Oryza sativa Japonica Group: one gene and its partners. The protein of the gene in region 2 interacts with the protein of the main gene of each other region in a pairwise test. Links are inferred from orthologs where the notes say so. Each region holds a gene or a part of one and is shown on either strand. Other genes may lie near its edges.

Region 1 (3,687 bases), on a different chromosome or scaffold from region 2:
CTTTAGGGACAAATATGGATAGATTGGTAGGTCCTGGTCTTTCCTTGCAACTCAATTTTACATGGTGGATCAGGTTCTTTCTCTCCCTAAATAATTTCCTATCCTTTCTGTTAGGTCATGTGGCCCAACTAGTGAATGTTAGTGAAGAGTTTTATAACCAAGCCTTATGATGGATTTTGCAGTCACCGATAATGCGCAATAATGCTCCACTATCCCATTCTTTAGTAATCTCTACTTGTGGTCTAAAGATAAAGATATTCTTTATAAGGTCTCAAACAAAGCTTTGCAACTGTCGCTCACTGTCTGAGCTTAGGTGGTTTTCCTAAAGAAAAAACTCATTTTAAATTTTTGTTAAAAATCGGTTTGCTACTTTAGTACTCCATCCGGTTTTCAGTAGATCACACTTTTGACTTTTAGACATATGTTTGATTGTTCGTCTTATTAAAAAATAAGGATAATCGATATTTTTGCATATTGTAAAATTTATTTTTAAGTAAGACCAATAGTCAAATTGTATATTCAAAATCTAACAACGTCATCAGTTAAAAACTAGAGAGAGTATTTATTATTCAATCAATCAAATAAAAAGATAAACAGACTTGTAAAGAATAAATGGGCCTGAAATACACTGGGCCGGAAGCCCATCCTACTGTGTGAGAAACTTTCAGGCCCATGCGGTTTCGTCGTGGGCTTGGCGTCTCCGAGCTTTTACGCACAAAAGAGGCAAAATCTTTCACGGCGACGTGGCACAGTATGGCTCTGGCTCACCGACTCTGCCGTCTTCCTCGCCTCCTCCCCCTCGCCGCCGCCGCCGCCGCCTCCAAACCCTACCTCCCCGGAAAACCTAGCCCCGCGCCTCCTCCTCCCCTCTCCTCCCCGCCGCCGTTTCCCTCTCTCTCCCGCCTCTTCTCCACCACCCCCTCCTCCTCAGGTACTCACCACTTCTCCTCAAGTGGTTACTGGACTCGAGATAATCGTGTTTTCTTTTCTTTTTCTTTTTCTTCTTTGTTGTTGCAGGTGATTCCAGCATGGTGGTGGTCGGATCGGCGGAGTCCTTCACCAGCATCATGTCCAAGGTGGAAGGTGCGGCGCGCCCGATTCCTCTTCCTCTCCCCTTCCACCTTTGCTGCTGTTGTTTGTTAGTGTTTTGGTGGGTAGGATTGGATCATGGTCTCATGGATGCGCGCGATTTCCTTTTTGCAGCGGAGAAGCTTCCGGCCGTGTTCTACTACACGGCGGTATGGTGCGGGCCTTGTAAGTGCCGGATCTTCGTGCCGAAATTGGGATTTTTGGAATTAGATGGTTGATGATGATGTGAGGTGTTATAAGATGGGTTGTTTGGTGTTTGTAGGTAGAGCGATGGCACCCGTGATTTCAAAACTGAGCAGCCGGTACCCCAAGATACCTATCTACAAAGTTGACATTGACATGGTAAGTGGGCGGATCCAAATCTCGCTGCGATTGTGATGCGCCGAAGTGTTCTTCTTGCTCAAATAGGTGTTGTTGGGATTAAAATTGCAAAATTGTTTGGTTACTCATATGTTCATAGTTGAAGATTGTTTGTCATGTATAATTGCATTACCTCCCATGTGTTAACTGCAGAGTAGTATTTTTGACCCCTGTCCTTTCAAAGTTTAGGTTTGGCTTATGCTTTTTAGGGTGTGTTTTAATCTTGAGCAAGGGAAGTTCTATCCTTGCTAAGTTAGGAGAGGCATTTGGTACAAACAAAAAATCCTAGATTTTGAGGGCAAGTTAGGCAATAACTGCCTCAAAATCCTTGCCCACCAGGGAGAGCCAAATCAGCTCTCCTCCAGCGGCAAGCAATGATCGTTGGTAGTTTTGCTTGAGCAGCCATGAAACCAAATGAACTCTCTTGTTGCCATAGGCTATATAGCCTAACCTGACTACTTTGGCATTGCTTGGCTAGGCAAAATATTCCAGAAATCCAAACGTGCCCTTAGTAAACTACAATGCTTAAAACTCAAGTGCTAGTGATTGAACCAATCCTGTTCTTCTGTAGAAAGCCTCGAGTCAATTGACCAATCTGGATCTAGTCTGAAATATTTCGCATCATTCTAGCACTACTTATGTTCAAGTATGGGATCTGCATATGTAGAAGGCAAAGTTATGAGATGGGAATTTTTCACTGAATATCCGTAATACTGTTCCATGAATCACTGTTAATCAAGATGGTGTCCGGTTCAGAGCTTCCTACCTTTGTATTCTGATTTCAAAGACTAATATGCTACACTGTTTGGTTAGTTCACTCAATAACTGGAATACTCTATTGAGAACACTCCTATACTTTCAGTACATTGAAAGGCAAAATGTGTTTCACTATGTTACCAATTTTGATTATGGCTGAAATAATTATCTGAACCTTATGGCCATGCTTGGACATGTTTATTGATAGGCACTTCCCTGACCTGTGTTGCTTTTGCAGGATGGTGTTGGAAGCAAACTAAGTGATCTAAAAATATTCTCTGTGGTAAGTTGCATTGTACTATGACTATAGCTCATGACTGTGTGCCTAAATTTCTGCGCAGCTTCCTCCAGTTATCTAGATCTCTTTTTCTTTGTTGCCAACATGTTTTGCTCTTGTAGCCAACATTCCATTTCTACTACCAAGGTCGGAAGACAGGTGAGGTGGTTGGTGCTAATGCGACAAAACTTGAATCAACCATGGAAAGTCTTCACAAGTAAGAAATTCAATTTATATTATTCCCTTGTTATCTCTGTTGTTAAATAGATGGACATAAAGAAAACCTGACCAATTAAATTTAATCCTGTCACTACAAAACAAGCAAAACCTTGGTTGTGATGATAAGATATGCATACGAGTTCATACACTTGTGTCCATCACTTACTAAGTGCCCCTGGTATTATGCTTTTGTTGCACAGGCAACTATAGAAGTTTTGTGGAAGAATATGACCGGGAGGTGGCCAGATGTCTCCATGTGCCTTCCATCAACGTGTTTGACATTGATATTTCTGAACCTTCTGGTTGTTTTTTATCATGCTGAATTCAGTACATTGCACCTCTTGTTTATTTAGCACAACTTTGTATAGTCTGCATGTCTAATATCAGAATCAACGCAAACATTCTGTTGGGATGCAGCAACCCACTAATTTTGTTGGGATAGACGTGAAGGAATTCTGGGCCTGTCAGTCCATCCATTGTTTTTCTGGGCCTTTGTCATAGTTCAACCATTCCAGTGTTGGGCTACAAGTCCCCCAGAATTTTTTCTCGCCATCGGCACAAGTTAATCATGAACCTACGATGTTTGGCGTCTCGAAAGTGAAAAAAAATAAATTAAATGCTTGAGTTTCACCTGAATTTCTGAGCAATCTGGTGCGTTGCACCGTATACTGTGATCGTGCTCTACCCACTAGGCCACTATCCAGACTATCCATACTCCAAAGGTCAAAACGGCCACGCACGGACAGATGCAGGGGTTCTTGAACAGGTGAAAAAAAATAGATGGACATAAAGAAAACCTGACCAATCAAAACGGCCACGCACGGACAGATGCGAGGCGGCAGGAACGAAAATATGCCATTGCCGAATTAGCACTCCAGATTCAAAGGCCTCCTTCGAAACTGCAGGCAATTTGAAGGAGCTTTGTGCGAACTGAACTACCACTAAGGCTGTGTTTAGTTCACGCTAAAATTGAAAGTGCTTGAAAT
Region 2 (3,750 bases):
GACGGATCAATCAGTAGTCAATCGCTCCCCCCACAATCTCACCTTGTGTATCGAACTGCAAAAGTGTGTGCATTAGCGTTACATATATAGTACTACCACAGTACGGCTATCTATCAGAATTGAAGCCGCTGTAACGAAAGATCAAGTTTGATCAGACATGCCGTCATGTAGACACTACAGCCCACGGCTACAGTTGCATGCATGCATGTGATAGAATGTCTATCCATGAGATGGTCAAACTTTGTCGTTGTTCGCATGGCAATAGTACACTTAGTACATGTATAGTACACATTTCCATGATAATTAAACGAGTGCGAGATTTCGTGTATCCACGCACACGTATGTACGACCAAAATAAATACACGCCGAAAGTACGTACTCCTATCAAGTATCAACAGTGACACTATCAGTCTAGTATCCTCTAGCCATAGCCACAATCTACAATGTACTGTAATAACGTAAAGCGGTTTCCAAGCCGGTGTGTGACGCCATTCTAGTACCACACACCATTTGGACCAGACGTGCCATGCCATCCTTGCATCTCACATGTAAGCACGCGAACACGACATCCGGTACACTATGCGAGCACAGAGCTATCCGGCCGGTCCGTGACCACGCACACGTGCGCATGCGTGTGCGTCGGAGGAGCTGTCCTTCCGGCTCGTTGAGCAACAGAGAGCAATGCAAGCATGCGTATGTACGAGAGATAGCTATAGCTAGGGACTCTGGTCTCTGGAGCTTCAATTCGCCACCGGCGTCAAAACGGGGCAAGCTGGCTGGCTAGCTGGTGCAGTGGAGCACTGGAGCCTGCAGCGACAAAAAAGTATAGCACCAGCATAACAAAGCAAGCAAGACCCATGCCAATGGCAGCATCACAGTCGTTCACAGCTACTCCTGCATGCATGGCATGCATTCGCAGGCTGCTCTAACACAGTGGAAGAAACGCTACGCGGGGCAAAGCAGATCGATCGACGGGCACAGGCACAGAGATTCTTTAATCGCCATGCCACATGACACACACACATATACTACTAGTAAATCAAAACTGAAAAGCAGGTTGTAGTAGTAAAATACGGTCAGCTACATTGCGGCAGGGAAGCTTCTGATGTTTACGCGCACATGGAAATTTATTAACCACCAGTGTGCTATGGCTAGCTAGCTCCGCCCGTTTGTGTATGTGTTGTGCACAGTGTTCATGCAGATGAGGCGCAGCTACCCACGCGAGGTAGGCAGGGGCGTATGGGGAAGACTCCAAACGACACCAACAGCAGTAGCTCGGTGGACGAGGCAGGGAGCCGCTCAGATGTGTATCAGCTACAGTCACTGCAGCTGGGGCCCCACGCCCTCCCCCAGATCAACGTACTGCCTGGACTTTATTTTTTTTTTCCTCCTGCTCCATCCCTACCGAGAAAAATATGGGCCCCGGCTAAAGCGACCGGCTATCGAGTGACTGCATTGTGGAGCCCGGTAGGGTTTTTGCTGATTATCTTTTGCGCTTTTTTAATAGAAACACGACGTGATAACCTTAAACACGGTATTGTGTGTGTTTTCTTTTGGCCGGTGGTAGTAATTTCTTTTGTACAGTAGTAGTATCAGCTAGTAATTAATTAATGTTGCTGTAGAGGGAGAGAGAAATGAGAGGCACAGTGAGAGTGATGAGATGATGCTTACAGGTAACTGACGGCCCCCAGATAGCTACGTTAGCCACAGCTCTCTCTCTCCTCCGAGTTTGCTCGCCGTGTAAACAGTGTGCGTACCCAAACCACCTACGCGCGCGCTGACCGGGTTGCTCCGCCTCCTCTTCCTCTCTCTCCGGCGCCTGAAATGATGCAGACAAAAATGTGCCAAAATAAATATGTATACGCCTAGAAGCGAGAGCGGGATGCAAGGAGAAACGGCCTTTTATTTTTGACACCAAGATAAACGGACTTTGACTTTCTGGTGAACAGAACAGGGTAAGAAACGGCATGCAAGACGAGAAAACAAAACATAGAAAAAGTGTAACTCAACACACACACACACAAAAAAAAAGCAAAGCAAAGATAAGACGAAGCATCAAGCAAGCTGGTTGCGTGCGTCGCCGTCACCACCATTACCTTCTCCTCCACGTCGCCGGTGAGCGAACGAGCGCAATTTGCAGCCCGCCGGTCGGCTTCACCTTCGCCGCCCTTTCGGTTTCGAGCTCTGCCTCTGAATCGACTCAGAAGCCTTTGGAGATAGCACAGAGAGAAAGGCCTCCCTTGTCTGGTCGAGGAGTGGATGCGGCTGCGTCAATGGCGCCAAACACAGCGGCGGCAAAGATATCAGAAGCTACGCAGCGACGCTGTCGCCGCACAGAAACAATCTGGGACTGAGTGGGAGATTCCTCTCGCAGTCGCAGGAGAGAAGAGCCACGAAGCGAGAGAGAGAGATCGAGGTGGGGAGGGAGAGAACACTGCGGGCGTCGCGCTGGGCCGTCGGATCCTTCCCCCATATACGACGAGAGGGCGCCGAGTGCACAGGCAGTGCAAGCCGTCTCGTTTCCGGCCCATATATAGTCCCTCCCCCACGGGACACGCGGCGGTCCCCGCGAGATCGCGGCCGTCCGATCCTGCGCGGCGTGTGGTCATCTCCCTGGTCCTGGGCTGGGCCCCACCTACGGTGATTCGCTGCGGGGCCCGCGAAGGCCCGGGCCCCGGCACGGACCGTGGCGATGACGAACGTGCTGCCGTGGCGCGATCAGGACCGTGCGATGTGATGCATATGCTGACGGGGCTTTGTCATGATCGAGGACCGTCCGATCTTGATGGCGCAAAGTACGTCAGCGTGTGCTTGCAAGCCCAATAGGCGAGTAGCCCATAGCGACTGACGGAGCGTGGGGCTCCTCACCGGGAGACCGCGCTGGTCCCCTTTTGCCGGTTCGGCCGGGGACCCTGGGTGAGACTCTAAGCTCCCAATTTGTGGAAGGTTCGCGAGACAGGAAACACACAAGACGCCGGCGATGTATACAGGTTCGGGCCGCTGAGAAGCGTAATACCCTACTCCTGTGTTTTGGAGGATCTGTGTATGAAGGAGCTACAAAGTATGAGCCAGCCTCTCTCTTGTTCTGGGTTCCCAATCTGGAAAAGTCCAATCATCCCCCCTCTAAGTGGGCAAGGTCCTCCTTTTATATCTTAAGGGGATACCACATGCACCATCTCCCCCTCTCTTTCTTCCAATTTGACTTCTCTTCATTAACAGACGGAGATTTGCATCGCCGCCGTCCGAATGACCTTCTGATGGGACGGCCCATACCTACCTCCACTTCCGCCGGAGGCAGGCGCGACGTGGGAAGATGGCTGTCTGCTGATGACTTGACCATTGTCAGACCGGTCACAAATCGGTCATTCTTGTCCACCACGTGTCAGTTTAACAATCTGCATGTTCGCCCTTCTTCATACAATATCTTGCCTGTAATGGTTAGGATGAAGCCTGGCATATATCTGACCGGAACCAACGTGCCATCTCCAGGAGCTAACACGCCGGCTCCAGCTAGGGACGAGTGCTTGGAGGCTCTCGTCCTGACGGGATGGGGCGAGGCGTGCGTCAGACCGCCTGTCGCCACCTAACCCATGATCTGACCGGTCTGTGACTGGTCACAGACCGGATAAACGAGCGTGCTGTACTGCGATACAGGCGGCGTGACGCGCTCGTCAAAACTGCAATAAATGTGGTTAGGTGAGCCCCGCCATGCTCACCTACCCCATATACGTGGCGCAAAACCCACAAGGG
Region 3 (3,750 bases), on a different chromosome or scaffold from region 2:
GTTCTGACTGTATATGTTTAGTAATGGGAAATCTAGTCCATAATTTTGGCGCGAAGACAAGCATTAGTTAGTCAGAAACGATTGCTACTAAACAATGGGAATTTCCATAAAAGGTTTTGAAATAGCAGTTTACCAGCAATTAACATCTAATTAGTACTAGTATGAATGTAAAGTACTACAGGCTTAATTGGGCTACTAAATTTGAGATACCAACCAAAGAACTGTCTTTGTCATTTAACCATAAATCTACATTGAAATTAGTTGAACCTCTCAGAAAAAGATTTCGGTATATGCTACTAGTATTCCACGAGTACCTTCTTATCATGGTTGTAGTAAATACCCTTCACGAGTTACAGCACATGTACAGATGTACTCTACCTAGTTTGAAAAGGATTGTCAAACTTTCTACTAGTACCACTGTACCAGCTGATGAATTCCCCAGAACACCAGCAAACACATTAATGTTTCTTGAAGAACAAAAGATCACCGAACCCATCATTTACACTCATAATCATAGATCTCATCAACGACCAAATTTACTAACACATAACTTAGATTTTGCGAGAACCAGACTTGACATTTTTTTTTTTGAGAAAATTCGATCTATAGCACAGAAGAGAAAGCGGTACCAAAAAATAGCACATAAATTTTTCGCTTTCGGCGAGAAGCACAGGCCACCGTTTTTCCTTCGACCCGTAGCACTTCCGTCACATTATGAGGTAACGGCGTTAGATCGAAGTGGAGAAAAATATCGTTGGACTCATTTGCCCTTCGTCTCTTCTCCCTTATTCCCCATTTCCTCCCTCTTTCCAAGTCCCTATACGAAGTCCCACCCTCTGCTACCGCCGCTGCAGCCATGCGGGCAAGCGCCACTGCACGCTCCCTGAAGGGCTTCCCCTTGTCGCCGACCACGGCGGCGATCGCCTTCGCCATCTGCCCAGAGTCAGGCACGGCGTCCGCGCCCTCCGCCAGGTGCATCGCCACGCCGGCCTCCACCAGCAAAATCTTGTTCACGAAGTGGTCGGCGACCATGGGCCACGTGAGCATCGCGACGCCCGCCGACGTCGCCTCCAGCATCGTGTTCGTGCCGCAGTGCATCAGGGACCACCCCACGGCGCGGTGGCGCGGGATCGCCACCTGCGGCGCCCACCCGCGGATGACCAGGCCCGTCCCCACGCCATTGTCGCCGCCTCGAACCCTTTCGGCAGCGCTGCGGCGGTGACGCTGTCCGCGGCCCACACGAGCGCCGCCGAGCTCCGCGTCAGCGCCTCAGCCACGCACGCCACCTGCGCCGGCGACAGTGACTGCTGCGTCGCTAAGTTGACGTACACGACGGCGCCATCGGCGAAGGCGTCCAGCCAGGCACCCACCTCTGTCGGTAGCACCGCCGGTCCGCCACGGTCGCTGGACGAAGGCCATGGCTAACAACCTTGAGCCCACCGGAGGACACTTCAAGTCCAAATAGGCGGCCTCCAAGGCTGCGAACGTGTTGACAACGACGCACTTGGTATCCAAGCTCCACAGCAAAGGAACCATCAAAAGAGAATGAACGGGAAATAGCTGAGGAAATAGGGAATAAGGGAGAAGAGATGAAGGGCAAATGAGTCCAATGACATTTTTCTCCACTCAGATCTAACACCGTTACCTCAGGATGCGACGGAAGTGCTATGGTACGAAGGAAAAACGGTGGCCTGTGCTTCTCGTCGAAAGCGAAAAAATTGTGTGCTATTTTTTGGTACCGCTTTTTTTCTTGTGCTATGGATCGAATTTTCTCTTTTTTTTCTATGAGAGCCAAACATTTGGTTACTAACTTGCCATAGATCTGACAAGGGCATGCATATGAAAGTGCAGATGATCTGATTCACTGATGCACGCCTCAGTTCATCTCAACTGACCACAACTAATCACTCTACCAAAGCTTCCAACACAAATCTTCACTGGGGTGAGCCCTACAAAACAAAAGATGAAATTCTCCACTTCTTTAGTTCTTACAAGCTGATTGCTGATCCAAGTACCAGATTGGAACTCCCCTGGTGTCTCCTTCCTAGGCAAATCTCTAAAACCATCCATTTCCCCTTCCAAATCAGCAATCAAATCTCAATCTAAACCCTCCCTTCTAAAATCGTTTCTTACTTTCTTTGGAACCTCACCCAAATCGCCAGCACTTGGCCACAACGCCACAAAACCATGAACCACACCATGATTCTCACTAGCTACTCCTAAGCTGAAATCCAACTAAACACTGGAGACGAAATCCTCCTCCGAAAACTTCTCCTCACTCGAGAAGCCGTAAAAATAAATAATAAAATAATAATAATAAGTTCGCAGCCTTAGCCAAGAAACGGCAGAAAGCTAGCTCACCGGCTTGCGGCGGCGTGCGGCGGAGGCTCCGGCTCCGGCTCGGCAGGGCCTGCGGCGAGGGTCGGGAGGCTCCGGCTCCGGCTCCGGCGGCGCCGGCGATGGGCGGCGGCGCTGGAAGTAGACGAGCTTGGAGGCGATCGGCATGGAGAAGAAGAAGAAGAAGATGTGGCGAAATATTGCAGCTTCACCTGTTTCTCTCCAACTTTTATATTACCTCGGCTGCTTCTTTTTTCTCTGCACTTTTCTTCAGATATCTCTGCACTACTACTACTACTACCTCTTGAAAGTTGAAACCTTTCTTCTTCTTTTTTCCTCTGAAAGTTTCTGAATTTTCTCGCTCACGTCAACGTTGCTTTTTTGTATCGATTCTTCGCAAAATCCTCGAAAAGATGATTTGTTGTGTTGTGCGCCATCGCAGTTAAGGGTTTTGGACGGCTTAAATGAAGCTAGAAGCGTGATAAGGGCGCCCGCAATGGTTATTTATAGGCTCTCTATAAGATATCCATAAGATATCCATGTCAGCATATTATCCTACTTGGAAGAGACTAAATGAAGAGAGAGAACAAAGCTATATACTAACCTAGAGATAGTCTATAGATAAAAACGAGGCAATGGATTAGAGAGCTATAGATACACATGTAGACATACTATTGAGGTGGTTTACTATTAATCTAATCTATTGCTGAGATGTACATGTTTTATAGAGAGCATCTTATTTTACCATTATGGGTGCTCTAAAAGCAGGTACAATACCTGGCTATAAGCCAACTGCAAACATATTTTAATAAGATAAATAAGAAGAGAGAATAGCAGCGGGCTATAAATTTATAGCCAGCTGTAATACGGACTTCAAGACGCAGGGTGTGTATAACAAGTAGGACCAGGTATTAATAGTGTAGTATGTAAATATTGTATGAATGAGCTATTAGGTTGGCTATAGATGAATTGAAGCCAATAGTTGGATATACTATTAAACTTGCTCTAAACTACTGATGAAAACGACATAATATCAAGGGCACAAAACAGGAGAGGAAAAAAATTGCAATCTTTAAAAACGCAATCTTTTCACACTACTTCAGTGATGAAGAAACGGTTATTTGAGATATAGTGTCGACATGTCTCCGTATTTAGCTGTGTAAACAAACTTAGGCGCACTAAATCAGAATCAAAATGGAACTAAATCTGAATGAAAATTATTGGTATGTAGAACAATTTTATTCTGCGTGGATCATATGTGGGGGCTTGATGATGGCCATATCTCCAAGTTGATCACTTTAGACATGATGGAAATTAGTGCGCCTTTTGGTGACCTGCAAGGTCATTAATCCAGAACCAACTCTGGAAGACCAAATTAAATGTTGCCAAATGTACATTGAGTATTATAAAGAT

What was found.
Region 1: the proteins of putative protein Brevis radix-like 3 (region 2) and thioredoxin O, mitochondrial interact in binary tests that used the Arabidopsis thaliana proteins (3 or more experiments, as listed by UniProt). The link is inferred for Oryza sativa Japonica Group from reciprocal best matches to the Arabidopsis thaliana genes BRX and TO1.
Region 3: the proteins of putative protein Brevis radix-like 3 (region 2) and probable E3 ubiquitin-protein ligase XERICO interact in binary tests that used the Arabidopsis thaliana proteins (3 or more experiments, as listed by UniProt). The link is inferred for Oryza sativa Japonica Group from reciprocal best matches to the Arabidopsis thaliana genes BRX and AT1G49850.

What each region holds. Positions count from the first base shown.
Region 1 is NC_089040.1:28,394,861-28,398,547, forward strand, and holds thioredoxin O, mitochondrial, read left to right. Parts: upstream 1-743; 5' UTR 744-753; coding exon 754-931; intron 932-1,017; coding exon 1,018-1,083; intron 1,084-1,203; coding exon 1,204-1,258; intron 1,259-1,355; coding exon 1,356-1,431; intron 1,432-2,443; coding exon 2,444-2,488; intron 2,489-2,604; coding exon 2,605-2,699; intron 2,700-2,901; coding exon 2,902-2,911; 3' UTR 2,912-3,337; downstream 3,338-3,687. UniProt on the Arabidopsis thaliana protein: Thiol-disulfide oxidoreductase that may participate in various redox reactions. Possesses insulin disulfide bonds reducing activity. Reduced by thioredoxin reductases NTRA and NTRB.
Region 2 is NC_089038.1:30,809,320-30,813,069, forward strand, and holds the start of putative protein Brevis radix-like 3, read right to left. Parts: upstream 2,504-3,750; 5' UTR 2,097-2,503; intron 1,820-2,096; 5' UTR 1,672-1,819; intron 56-1,671; 5' UTR 1-55. UniProt on the Arabidopsis thaliana protein: Acts as a regulator of cell proliferation and elongation in the root and shoot. Regulates roots architecture and primary root protophloem differentiation.
Region 3 is NC_089046.1:24,770,563-24,774,312, reverse strand, and holds the start of probable E3 ubiquitin-protein ligase XERICO, read right to left. Parts: upstream 2,637-3,750; 5' UTR 2,506-2,636; coding exon 2,362-2,505; intron 1-2,361. UniProt on the Arabidopsis thaliana protein: Probable E3 ubiquitin-protein ligase that may possess E3 ubiquitin ligase activity in vitro.